Coturnix japonica: one gene and its partners. The protein of the gene in region 3 binds, or shares a complex with, the protein of the main gene of each other region. Links are inferred from orthologs where the notes say so. Each region holds a gene or a part of one and is shown on either strand. Other genes may lie near its edges.

What was found.
Region 1: the proteins of CRHR2 (region 3) and UCN are in contact, whole or in part, in a cryo-EM structure (PDB 7TS0), measured with the Homo sapiens proteins. The link is inferred for Coturnix japonica from reciprocal best matches to the Homo sapiens genes CRHR2 and UCN. Residues at the interface, in NP_001874.2 of Homo sapiens: Phe68, Asn69, Gly70, Val71, Tyr73, Ile101, Leu102, Asp103, Asp104, Arg107, Asp110, Tyr113, Leu117, Asn120, Trp166, Leu169, Gln170, Val172, Asp173, His174, His177, Glu178, Thr188, Phe191, Asn192, Phe199, Phe256, Gly257, Lys258, Asp265; in NP_003344.1 of Homo sapiens: Asn84, Pro85, Ser86, Leu87, Ser88, Ile89, Asp90, Leu91, Thr92, Phe93, His94, Leu95, Leu96, Arg97, Thr98, Leu99, Leu100, Leu102, Arg104, Thr105, Ser107, Gln108, Arg111, Ala112, Asn115, Phe119.
Region 2: the proteins of CRHR2 (region 3) and GNA11 are in contact, whole or in part, in a cryo-EM structure (PDB 7TRY), measured with the Homo sapiens proteins. The link is inferred for Coturnix japonica from reciprocal best matches to the Homo sapiens genes CRHR2 and GNA11. Residues at the interface, in NP_001874.2 of Homo sapiens: Arg148, Tyr208, Leu209, Ala212, Ile213, Thr216, Glu220, Lys293, Lys307, Ala311, Phe358, Tyr359, Phe362, Asn363; in NP_002058.2 of Homo sapiens: Arg37, Ile348, Leu349, Asn352, Leu353, Glu355, Tyr356, Asn357, Leu358.

The regions. Positions count from the first base shown.
Region 1 is NC_029518.1:95,414,802-95,417,432, forward strand, and holds UCN (urocortin), read left to right. Parts: upstream 1-1,152; 5' UTR 1,153-1,492; intron 1,493-1,621; 5' UTR 1,622-1,637; coding exon 1,638-1,940; 3' UTR 1,941-2,129; downstream 2,130-2,631. Other genes in the region: protein Mpv17, read left to right, coding at 220-252, 480-860. UniProt on the Homo sapiens protein: Acts in vitro to stimulate the secretion of adrenocorticotropic hormone (ACTH). Binds with high affinity to CRF receptor types 1, 2-alpha, and 2-beta. Plays a role in the establishment of normal hearing thresholds.
Region 2 is NC_029543.1:653,103-657,367, reverse strand, and holds the start of GNA11 (guanine nucleotide-binding protein subunit alpha-11), read right to left. Parts: upstream 2,803-4,265; 5' UTR 2,678-2,802; coding exon 2,542-2,677; intron 1-2,541. UniProt on the Homo sapiens protein: Guanine nucleotide-binding proteins (G proteins) function as transducers downstream of G protein-coupled receptors (GPCRs) in numerous signaling cascades.
Region 3 is NC_029517.1:3,701,713-3,705,929, reverse strand, and holds the start of CRHR2 (corticotropin-releasing factor receptor 2), read right to left. Parts: upstream 2,806-4,217; 5' UTR 2,773-2,805; coding exon 2,707-2,772; intron 1-2,706. UniProt on the Homo sapiens protein: G-protein coupled receptor for CRH (corticotropin-releasing factor), UCN (urocortin), UCN2 and UCN3. Has high affinity for UCN.

The sequences.
Region 1 (2,631 bases), on a different chromosome or scaffold from region 3:
CTTCTGCCCTCACGCTGCTGCCCTTTATGGGCACATTCCCATGCAGGGGAAGGGGGACCTGCCCTGTGCCCAGCTTGGGGAGACTGCAGTCCCTGCCTGCTGCGTGCGGGGTCACAGCTGTCCCTGCACTGTTCCTCTGCCCCCAACTGGGCCAGGCTGTGTGTGGGGTGGGGTGGTTGCAGGGCTGCTCCCTGCGCTCACGGCCTCTACCTTCCCCAGGACTACATGGACGCGCTGCTCACCAACTACTGTGTAAGTGCTGAGGATGGAATCCTGGGTTGGATTCCCTGATCCCGTGGCACAGAGCTGCCTGCGGCCCCTCATATCGCTCCTCCCCTCTGCCCAGATTTGGCCGCCGGTGCAGATCGCCAACTTCTACTTCATCCCTCTGGCCCACAGGTAGCAGCACAACCCCATGGCCCCACAGCTCCCGCTGCCCATGGCTGTGTCTGCTGAGCCATCCTTCGCTCTGTTCCCAGGCTGGCTGTCGTGCAGTGTGTTGCCATTGTCTGGAACTGCTACCTGTCCTGGAAAGCAAACCGGCTGTGAGGGGCAGCTGTGCTCCAGGTGCCCCCACCCACCAGCTCTGGAGCCTCAGTCGGGGACTGTGTGTGGGGCTGGAGTGCCGTGCTGTCCATCACGGGGATGCTATGGCAGCGATGACCCCGTGGGGCTGTGGGACCGCTCTGTCTGTTCTCTGTGCCCTGCCCAGCACAGGAGATGCTCCGTCCTTCCCCAGCCTCACTGCTGGCTCACACCCCACGTGTGACAGTGCCCTCCAGTACCTCCACTGGGACTCGGGTCGGGCCCTTCAGGAGCACCCAATAAAAGCTCCGCTCCGCTGCCCCTGTAACGCGTGAATTATCGCCCCCCCGTCACCCTGGGCCTTTTGGGGCCGGGGATTCAGCCCTCGGCCCGTCGTTTCCCATCGTCGCCGGGCGCGGTGCCGCGGTGCCGTATCCCCGAGCCGCATGGCACCGCGCTCGTCTCTATGAGTCACGCCTTTGGCCACCGCCGCTTCCTCGGGGCCGTCTGCAGCGCTTGGCCGCGGCGTGCTGGACCGGCGCGGTGCCATGGGGGGTGCACCGGGGGGGAGGAGGAGGACGGGGGGTGACGTCGCGTGGGTGCGGGGTTCCGGCACCCCAGCTCCGACGGGGAACGCGGCCCCGACGGCGCAGAGCCCCGCACCGCCCCTTCAGCACCACGGACAGCGGCACCGGGATCGGGGTGCGGTGTAAGAGCTGTGCGGGGTGCGGGACGAGAACGGGCACCGGAGAGATGCGGGTCCCGAGGGGCCGCTCCCGGTCCCGGTGCGCTCCGAATCCGCCGTCCCCCGTAGCCCCGCACCCCCCGCCCCCGCCCTGTGCGTCCCCGCCGCTGACGTCAGCCCCGCTCCGGGCCCCATATAAAGTCCCGAGCGCGGCTCCGGCTCAGCCCCGCGGGGACGGACGGAGCTCCGCGCAGCGCACGGCGCCCAGAGCTCGGAGCAGCGGTACGGGCGGTGCGGAGCGGTGCGGGACGGGGCAGTGCCGGGCGGTGCGGGACGGGACGGGACGGGGAGCGTTCGGCTTCGGGGAAGCCCCGTCGGGTGCGGACCCCGCGCTGACCCGCAGCCCCGCAGGTGCGGACGAGCCGAGATGCGGCGGGCGCTGCTCACCGTTCTGCTGCTGCTGTGCCGCCCGTTCCCCGCCGCCCCCCGTCCCGCCCGCCCCGACGGCCTCGACGGCCCCGGCTCGGGAGTCCCCGCGGCGGAAGTGCGGACCGAAGCGCTGTGGCCGCCGCTGCCCGCAGAGCCGTGGAGGGCGCGGAGGGACGAGCCGCCGCTCTCCATCGACCTCACGTTCCATCTCCTGCGGCACCTCCTGCTGCTCGCCCGCGCCCAGAGCCAGCGCGCCCGCGCCGACAACAACCGCCGCATCCTCGACGCCGTGGGACGCTGAGCCCCGCGCCGGGACCGCTCCGACGGGTGCGCGGCTGCCGGACCCCCCCCGGGACGGCTCCGCTCCGATTTTGTAATAAAACACTGCAGAAAAGCCGTAGTGCGGACCTGAGTGTGGGGAACCGTCTCCATCTCCGCTGCGTCCCCACCTTGCCATACTTGCAGCCCATGGTAAGACCCTCCCCGAGCACCCCCCGTTCCAGGCTGAGCATCCCCGGTTGTGCCCCCATCCCCACCCCGCAGCCGTCACTGCCCCCCGTCCCCTTCTGCTGCTGAAGGCCCAACGGCTTTGGGTACGGCACTCGGGCTGCACACTGAGCTGGGGGCTGTGGGGCACAGAGACACCCAGTCCCCATCCTCGTGCATCAGCAGTGACGTGGGGTGACTGACGTGGGGTGACTGACGTGGGGTGACTGACGTGGGGTGACTGACGTGGGGGGCTGACGCAGCGCGGTGCAGCAGTGGGGTGGGGGCACAGGCCGTGACCCACCGGTAATTGAGGCTCTGTGTGCTCAGCCCAGCGCTGTTTGCTCGGTGCACCCAAGGGACGGTGCTGCCAGACGGAGCTGCGGGGGTGGCAGACGTGGGTGCTCCCCCCAGACATGGGGCTGCAGGCAGAGCACAAAGCCCTGGTACAAGGGAACCCCGCAAGCACCTCATCCCCACACACCACACCTCACAGTGTCCACTCG
Region 2 (4,265 bases), on a different chromosome or scaffold from region 3:
ATGGCAAAGCACAAAGCGAGGGGCTGAACTCAGTGCAATCCTGCCAACACGTGGGAGCAGCACAGCTCCCCCCCAGCACCAGCACCCCCCAATGGGCACATGTAAATCCAACCCCAGTAACCCCGATGTTAGACCAGTGCTCAATGATGAGCCATTGCAGGGGGATTTTGTATGCAGCGTTCTCGCCCCCCTGTTGCCATCCCTGTTAAAAAGGCCAATGATGAGCAAAGGGCAACATCTAATATCTTCAAATTAGAGCCTCTCATTACTGGGTTAACTGCCGGACAGCAGCGTTACCCCTCACTGCTCCTGACCCAACAGCTGCCATTGAGAAGCAAAGCCACCACTGCTTCAGCAATGGGAAACTCCTTCCACATCCACACCCTGCTCAGGTTGATGGGAGCTGGGAAAAGCCCTCTGATATCAATGCAGGGAAGAGCTCCACCTCAGCCCGAGACAGCAGGAACACACACAAGCAGATCTCCTTAATGGAGATGGAAGGCAACAGCATAAAGTGGGTGATGTGCAGAGCTGCACCCACTGAAAGCAAACAGCATGAAGGGCTTCACCCCCCAACCATGCTCTAAGGCCTGTTGTTACTGGGGGAGCAACATTCCCTTATCAATCTGGGGAGGTTCTGGTTGCTTGGTTTGTTTGCAAACGATGCTTCAGGGAAAAATACAGATATATGTGTGTGTATATATATATATAAAGGTTTCTTGAGCATCTTCCATTTCTTTTCTAAGTGCGATCTTTAGATCCAGTGGGATCATCTTAACCCAGATCAGCCTATAGCTCCAACCTATTTTGAAACAACTGCTTCTTTGGGACCGCGTGAAGGAAGCGTCACAGCTCCGTGCTGTCCTCCACCATCAGAAACTGACCCCGAGCCTCCAGAGCCCCCATTAGCACCCAAAGCAACACCCACCCAACAGCAACCGCCGTGCAATGACACCGCTGGCACCCCCAGGATGGGGCTTCACCGAACCAATGCAAAGCTCTGTGCCTGCTCATGCACCTCATCCTTCACCTGTGCCTCCATGCAGACCCGGAGTGAATGATTCCAACCATCAGATTCACTTTCCTGTTTCCTACCCCCCGTTGGAAGCACGGCAGCGTTCCAGCAGCACAACACAGACACACACGTGGGAACGGTGCCCATATAGAACCACCAGCAGAGCTTCCTTCGTGGCTCCCGGGATGCCAGCACTGCTCCCTGCCCCGGAGGAACGGCCGAGAGCTGCTCAGATGCTCCTGCAGTCGCTCACCTCCAGACCTCGCCCAAACCCGAGCAGACAACGTGCTGCACGGCTCCATCCCCAGCACACGCCATTTCCTGCTCTCACACCGCTCTGTATCCCCGTGGGTTTACTGTCAGCACCACAGGGCACCTCCCACCCCCCCCCCAGGGCAGCCCCCCGTGGCCCCACACATCCCCACAGCCCATTTTTCACACATGTGCAGCAGTGGCCCTATCCCCCAATCCTTATCCCATCCCATATCCCCTATCTCTATGCCATCCTCCATTCCTTATCCCTATCCCATCCCCTATTCCCCATCCCATCCCCTATTCCCCATCCTATCCCCTAATCCCCATCCCATCCCCTATTCCCCATCCCATCCCCTATTCCCCATCCCCAGAATCACAGGGGTTGGAATAGACCTCATGAGATCATTGATCCCAACCCCTACTAAAGCAGATACTCCACAATAGGTTGCACAGCCGGGCATCCAGATGGGATATGAACATCCACAGAACACCATTCCCTATCCCCTAACCCCCATTCCCTGTCCCCTATTCCTTATCCTCTACCACCCATCCCCTGTTCCTTATCTCTTACTCCCCATTCCTCCATTCCCTATATTCTATTCCTCATCCCCTCTGCCCTATTCCCTATTCTTTATTCCCCATTCCCTATCCCCACATTGTATCCCCCATCCCTTATCCCTATCCCCTATTTCCTATTCCCTCACTCCCTCTCCCTTACCCCTCTCCCTTATTCCCTATCTCCCATTCCCAACCCTGTATCTCTCTCCCATCCCCATCCTCTATCCCTTAACCCCCATCCATCCCCCATTCCATACCTTCTATTCCTCATCCCCTCTGCCCTATTCCCTATTCTTTATTCTCCATTCCCTATCCCCTCTTCACATCCCCCATCCCTTATCCCCATCCTCTATTTCCTATTCCCTCATTCCCTATCCCTCACCCCTCTCCCCCATTCCCTATCGCCCTGTATCCTCCCATCCCCATCCCCTATCCCTTAACCTCCATCCATCCCCCATTCCATACCTTCTATTCCTCATCCCCTCTGCCCTATTCCCTATTCCTTATTCCCCCATCCTCTCTTCACATCCCCCATCCCTTATCCCTATTCCCTCCCTATCCCTCACCCCTCTCCCCTATTCCTTATCCCCCATTCCCTATCGCCCTGTATCCTCCCATCCCATCCCCCATCCCTTATCCCCCATCCATCCCCATTTCCCCCTCTCACGCCCATTTACCCCCATTATCCCCGTTCCGCTCGGTTCCCCCCTCACCCAGCAGCAGCAGTTTCAGCTCCCTCCTCGCGTCCCTCTTGTCCCTCCGCAGCTGTTTCTCGATCTCGGCGTTGATGCGTTTCGACTCCTTCACCTCGTCGCTCAGGCAACACGCCATCATGGACTCCAGAGTCATGGTCCCAACGCCTCCAGGACGCCGCCGTCCTCCCGGCGCCGATCACCGCTCGCTCCTCACGGCCGGGACCCCCCGGCCCGGCCCGGCCCCGCCGCCCCTTCCTTTCCCTTCCTTTATCCCTTCCCTTCCGTTCCCCTCCCCGTTGTCCGCCCGGCCCGGCCCGGCCTGGCCCCGACCCGACCCCGCGGCCGGGCCCAGCAGCAGCAGCGCGGCCGCCGTCCCTGAGCGCGCTGCCCCCGCCCGGCCGCGCCGCCCGCCGCTCCCCGCCCGCCCCGCACGGCCCCGCCGAGCAGCAGCAGCGGCGCAACCCAACCCACTGCCGCCGAAAACAAGCGGTGACTGACGGCTCCCGCGGCCAATGGGAGAGCGCGGCGAGATGGAGGGCGGGGCTTCACCAGCGAGTGGGCGGGGCTCCGTGCTGACCGGGGAGCAGGTTTGGTTGGCCCGGCAGGGGGCGGGGCGAGACCAGGGCGGGGCGGCGCCGCGGGGCATTGTGGGACGGCGGAGCACCGGGCGGACACGGGGCGGCGCTTCCGGCTGCCAGGCCCGGCCCGGCCCGTTGTAGGCCATGGCGGTTCGGTTCGGTCCCGTGTAGGCCATAGCAGCCCGGTTCGGTCCCGTGTAGGCCATGGCGGTTCGGTTCTGTCACACTCTAGGCCATGACGGCCCGGTTCGGTCCGTTGTAGGCCATGGCGGTTCGGCCCGGTGCGCTGTAGGCCATGACGGCCCGGTTCGGTCCCGTGTAGGCCATGGCGGTTTGGTTCGGTCCCATGTAGGCCATGGCGGCCCGGTTCAGTCCCACTGTAGGCCATGGCAGTTTGGTTCCATGTAGGCCATGGTTCCCGGTTTGGTTCCGTGTAGGCCATGGCGGTTCGGTTCCGTGTAGGCCATGGTGCCCGGTTCTGTCCCGTGTAGGCCATGGCGCTCTGTGTGCCCTCAGGCTGCAGGGCTGGCTGGCTGTTGGCAGGTGCTGCAGTTCCCTCCGGGAGCTTTGAGCACAGGGTGCTGCTTTGCTCACCTTCCTTGGGCACAAACAACTCAAAGCTTTAAGGGCCAAACGCTGCAGAAGTTTCCTCGATAGATAAAGAAATAAGTAAATAGGAACAAAACGTCCATCCACACTCTGTGTGTTCTTACACCTGTTCTGATGGATCCTGCTTGGACCATCAATGTAAAGCACCAAAAACACAGCTCCTAAGGGACGACAGGCTGCTGGTCTCCTCCCTTCTGGTCTCAGTGCTGAGGGACTCACCCACAAAGCACAAGATCTGGGATTTCCCTCCTCTTGGTCAATGATGTGCACGTCCCTAACCCCAGCCTTCATTTCCCTGCCCCACACACATCACACTGTGCCTGTAGACTTCATGTTCCTTTCCTTGCCTTTCTCTGCCTGCCATCCCATCACACCCACAGCACGTCACCTCCTTCCAGGCCGTTCCTGCTGCTCTCCATCCTCCGCTGCTGGCTTCTGACCAGAGCTGCCTGCCCGAGCAGGGACATTCCTGCCCATCTGCTCAGCCCTGCCTCTGTTTTCCAGCAGGGTGTGGGATCCTCGTGCTTTTCTGTGGCTCCTTAAGTTCTACATGGA
Region 3 (4,217 bases):
CTTGTTCCCAAAGAAACACGGCTTCCAAGTTCTCCACCCATTTAGATCCACAATAGAGCTGCTGGCATGAGCCTTGTCAGAACAAGGTGTGCATGGGCAGCACGTCCCCAGCCTTACCCAGCTATGAGCTACTCATGAACAGGAGGTCAGGACAGGATGTCACAGCCTGTCTCTGCCAAGCAATGCTGCTGTCACTACACAGCCCTTCCCAAATGGCCTTTGTTGGGATGCTGCAGGCAAGCAGGCCTGCGAGTGCTGATCTAAATGATCCTACATCAGGAACTGGTCAGTGCTTCCAAAAGCAGGACATGCTGTAAGCCAGAGACCATTGCAGCCCACTGCACTGCAACAAGGAGTGCAATTCTCCTACACTGGGATGTGCTCAATGAAATTCAAGCAGCCATTGATGTGAAGCTGCACTTGCAGGCTGACTCTCAGTGTTAAATAACTAGTTCCTACTTGTCTTCCTTTGTAATAAGGGCTATAGCAAAGCTTACCAAACTCTTCAGAGAAAGAAATAAAGGTAAAAGACATAAAGCTCTGTGCCGAACCCTTGCCAGCTCAAACCAAATATAGCTATTTTCAAAGCTATTCAGATATAAAGAAAAGGATTAGCTGTGAGGGAAAAACAAGTAATTCCATACAAAGAAACAGGTTGATAAAGCCAAGCAGCAGCGAGCGTTTAGTTGTCAAGGCTGGCTATTAGGAATAGAAAGATGAGGAGGCAAAGAGGATGCTTCTGCAAGGCCTTGGCACATAGCACTGCATAACTGGAGAGGGGGCAAGGAGGTGCCATGGGGCCACCGCAGAGCTCCGGCTTCACATCTGAGAATTCATGCCTGCACTTCACATGGGAACAGCTGACACCTGAGTTCAGAAGTGGTACGGGACAAAAGAAAGCTGTTTACAGCACAGAAAGGAAAGGAAAGGAGAAATGTTTCCCTCTCCTTCATGGAAGGAGAGGGAAATGTGAATTACTGAAGTGTCGTTTACTGGATATAAGGTTTACAGTGAAGCAAAGTAGCACCTCCCCCAGCAGATCCATTTTTCCAAACTCCACAACTATATATGTACATTTTTCTAACAGCGATGTGTTATTTTAATGTCTTTTTCAACAGCATGATGAGCAACACACAAATCAAAGGGAACACAGAGACACTGCTCCTTTATACACAGGTATTGCCCACTGTCCCGGTGCCTTCATTGTGAATCTCTACCAGCAGGATCCTGCAGTCATCTCCAGCAAAAAGAAAGCTGAGCTCAAAGCAGTGAAGAGTTTGCTTAGAGGAAAATGCCTCCCTTGGGCGCTCAGAGCTCTGAGCAATGGAAGTAAAGCACGCTCCATGGGAGCCAATAAATCAAACAGCGCAAAGGTCTGTTTTAAGCACTTAATCATTTACACTGTTAAATGTTTAGAATGGTTCCTGGCTACATTTTTGCCCCAAGCAATCTAGCAGTATCTCAAACAGTTGCCGGGAATGACCTGGGAGTGAGGCTGCTCTGTGGACAGAGCTCAACATGCAGTTTGTGCACTGTTTTAGAGGCTGAAGGAGTTGAGTAGTATGGGCACGAGCCGTGCTTGGGCATTCGGCCTGAAGACTGAATGGCTGTCCTGGCAATCTTAATGTACAAGCAGAGGTAACAACCTATGTGAGTGTAACTCAAGAAGTGTGGATCTGATGGTCCTTGCTCTACCCTGTCCTTCTTCATCAGCCCAGGTCCCCATCCAACCTGACCTTGAACACCATGGACAGGGCACCCACATATATCATATATATATATCATATATATACTCAGAGTATACCCCAAGTGAGCATTCATCTCCAAACAAACCCCTCTTGGCATTGTATGTGACTCCTTTCTTGCAGGGCAACTAAAGAAGCCAGCCACCCAAATTCACACAAACAATTCCAATGCAAAGCTGCAGGAAACTGAAGGGGGGAAAAAAAGAAAGGCCACGTCCATAGATTAGATCTACAGGGGAAACACATGGTGGGTTTTATTCACTGTCAAAGAATGAGTCTGGCAGCAGCGGGCACCTGGGTGCTACTGATAAGCTCATAGCAAGGAGTCCTCTCTATGTGGGAACTGAAGTGCTGCTGTGGACTGATGGAAAGCACAGTGAGGATGATGAGAGCAGTCCAGAAAGCTTTTATACTGTTGTGGGAGCTGCCACCGTGAATTAGGAGGATTAATGCACCTCCTGCACACCTCATACACACACACAGCCTGCCCGGCCGACCCTATTTGCTGCCTCATCATGATGGTGATGGAGAAGGATCGGAAGGAAAGATCTCCCTGATGCTCTAAAGTTGTTACAAATGCTTGGGCAGATGGGAAGGGCTTGAGAAAGCGATGGAAACGGAGCCACGTGTTGAGAGGAGAGCAAGCAGGGCACGGGGCTGCGGCAGGGCACTCCTTCATTGCTAATGGGAATACAAGGAGAGTCACGGCACAGCACGGGGGCTCTGAAGGGACCCACGGATCAGCAGCCACGGGGATATCGTGGAGCTGAGGCCGGGGTCTGTGCGGGGTCTGTGCGGGACCGTCCCGCAGCGCCGAGGGGACGGGAAGGAGCCGCACGGCTGGGACGCACTCCGTGCTCCCTCCCGGACCCAGTGGGCTCCTGGCGGGGCGTGGGGAGCCTCCCGCTCACCCTCCCACCCCTCTCTTCCCCACTCCTCCCTCCCCAGCCGGTGCACTTACGGGCAGGAGAAGGAGCGCGGCTGTGGCCGCCGCCGGGAGGCTGCGCTGCGGCGCCCGTCCAGCCATGGGGCCGGAGGGGCTGCGGGGGGCTGCGGGGGGCTGGCGCTGCCCTCTCAGCAGCTCTGCCCCTCTGCTGGCATCTCTAACCCCCCTCCCTCCCACCAACCCCCCCCCGATGCTGCCCCTCACCGCCGCCCCGCTGTCGGACCCGGTGCCGCCGGCGCGTCCCAGGGCAAAGCCCCGCAGGGAGGGAGGGAGGGAGGGAGCCTGGAGGGGGAGCCGAGCCCGCCCTCCGCCCGAGGCGCTGCGGGGATGGAGGAGGACGAAGCCCCCGGGGAGCGCGACCCCAAAGCTACCAGCAATAGAGCGGGGCTCTGTATGGCTCTGTAGTGCGGACAAAGGGAGGCACCCCGAGTCTTGTAATGACCTGAAGGATCCTGAACACAGGCATGGTGCTGTTAGGTCAGCAGTTGGATCAGAACATTTCCAATCTTAGAATCATAGAGCCATAGAATGGCCTCGATTGAAAAGCACCACGATGATCATCCAGTTCCAACCCCCTGCTATGTGCAGGGTCACCAACCAGCAGCCCAGGCTGCCCAGAGCCACATCCAGCCTGGCCTTGAATGCTGCAAGGGATGGGCCATCCACACCTCCTTGGGCACCTGTTCCAGTGCATCACCACCCTCTGGGTGAAAAACTTCTCCCTAATATCCAACCTCATAAAGGTAGCAAAGAAGAAAAGAGGAAAGAGTCCCTTTTGCACAACAAATTCCCAAGGTTTGCATGAACTTACAGCAAGGCTTAACTTGGGGTGAGAATTGCCCAGGCATCTTTCTTTGGGGAGTTGAATTGTTTTTGCCTTTTGTCAATTGATCACAAAAGACATAAAGCAAACAGCTTCTCAGCCCCTCTCCAGAACACACCTACAAGGAGGCTGAAGTACCTGAACCCATGCAGAGGTTGAGCTTCATACAGTATGAACATCACAGCAAGGAGACAGATAGACTCTATGGACTAGTGGACCTGAGAGGTGGGGGAAAGAAAGAAAGAAAGAAAGAAAGAAAGAAAGAAAGAAAGAAAGAAAGAAAGAAAGAAAGAAAGAAAGAAAGAAAGAAGAGAAAAGAAGAAAGAAAGAAAGAAAAGAAAGAAAAAAAGAAAGAAAGAAAAAGAAAGAAAGAAAGAACACAAGAAAGAAAGAAAAAGAAAGGAAAAAGAAAGCAAAGATGAATGTAATAAAGAAAGAAAGAAAGGAAAGAAAGAAAGAAAAAAAGAGAAAGAATGAAAAGAAGAGTGAGGAAGGAAGGAAGGAAGGAAGGAGGAAGGAAGGAAGGAAGAAGAAGGAAGGAAGGAAGGAAGGAAAAGTAAGGAAGGAAGGAAGGAAGGAGAAGGAAGGAAGAAAAGAGGAAGGAAGGAAGGAAGGAAGGGAAGGAAGGAAGGAAGGAAGGAAGGAAGAAGGAAGGAAGGAAGGAAGGAAGGAAGGAAGGAAGGAAGGAAGGAAGGAAGGAAGG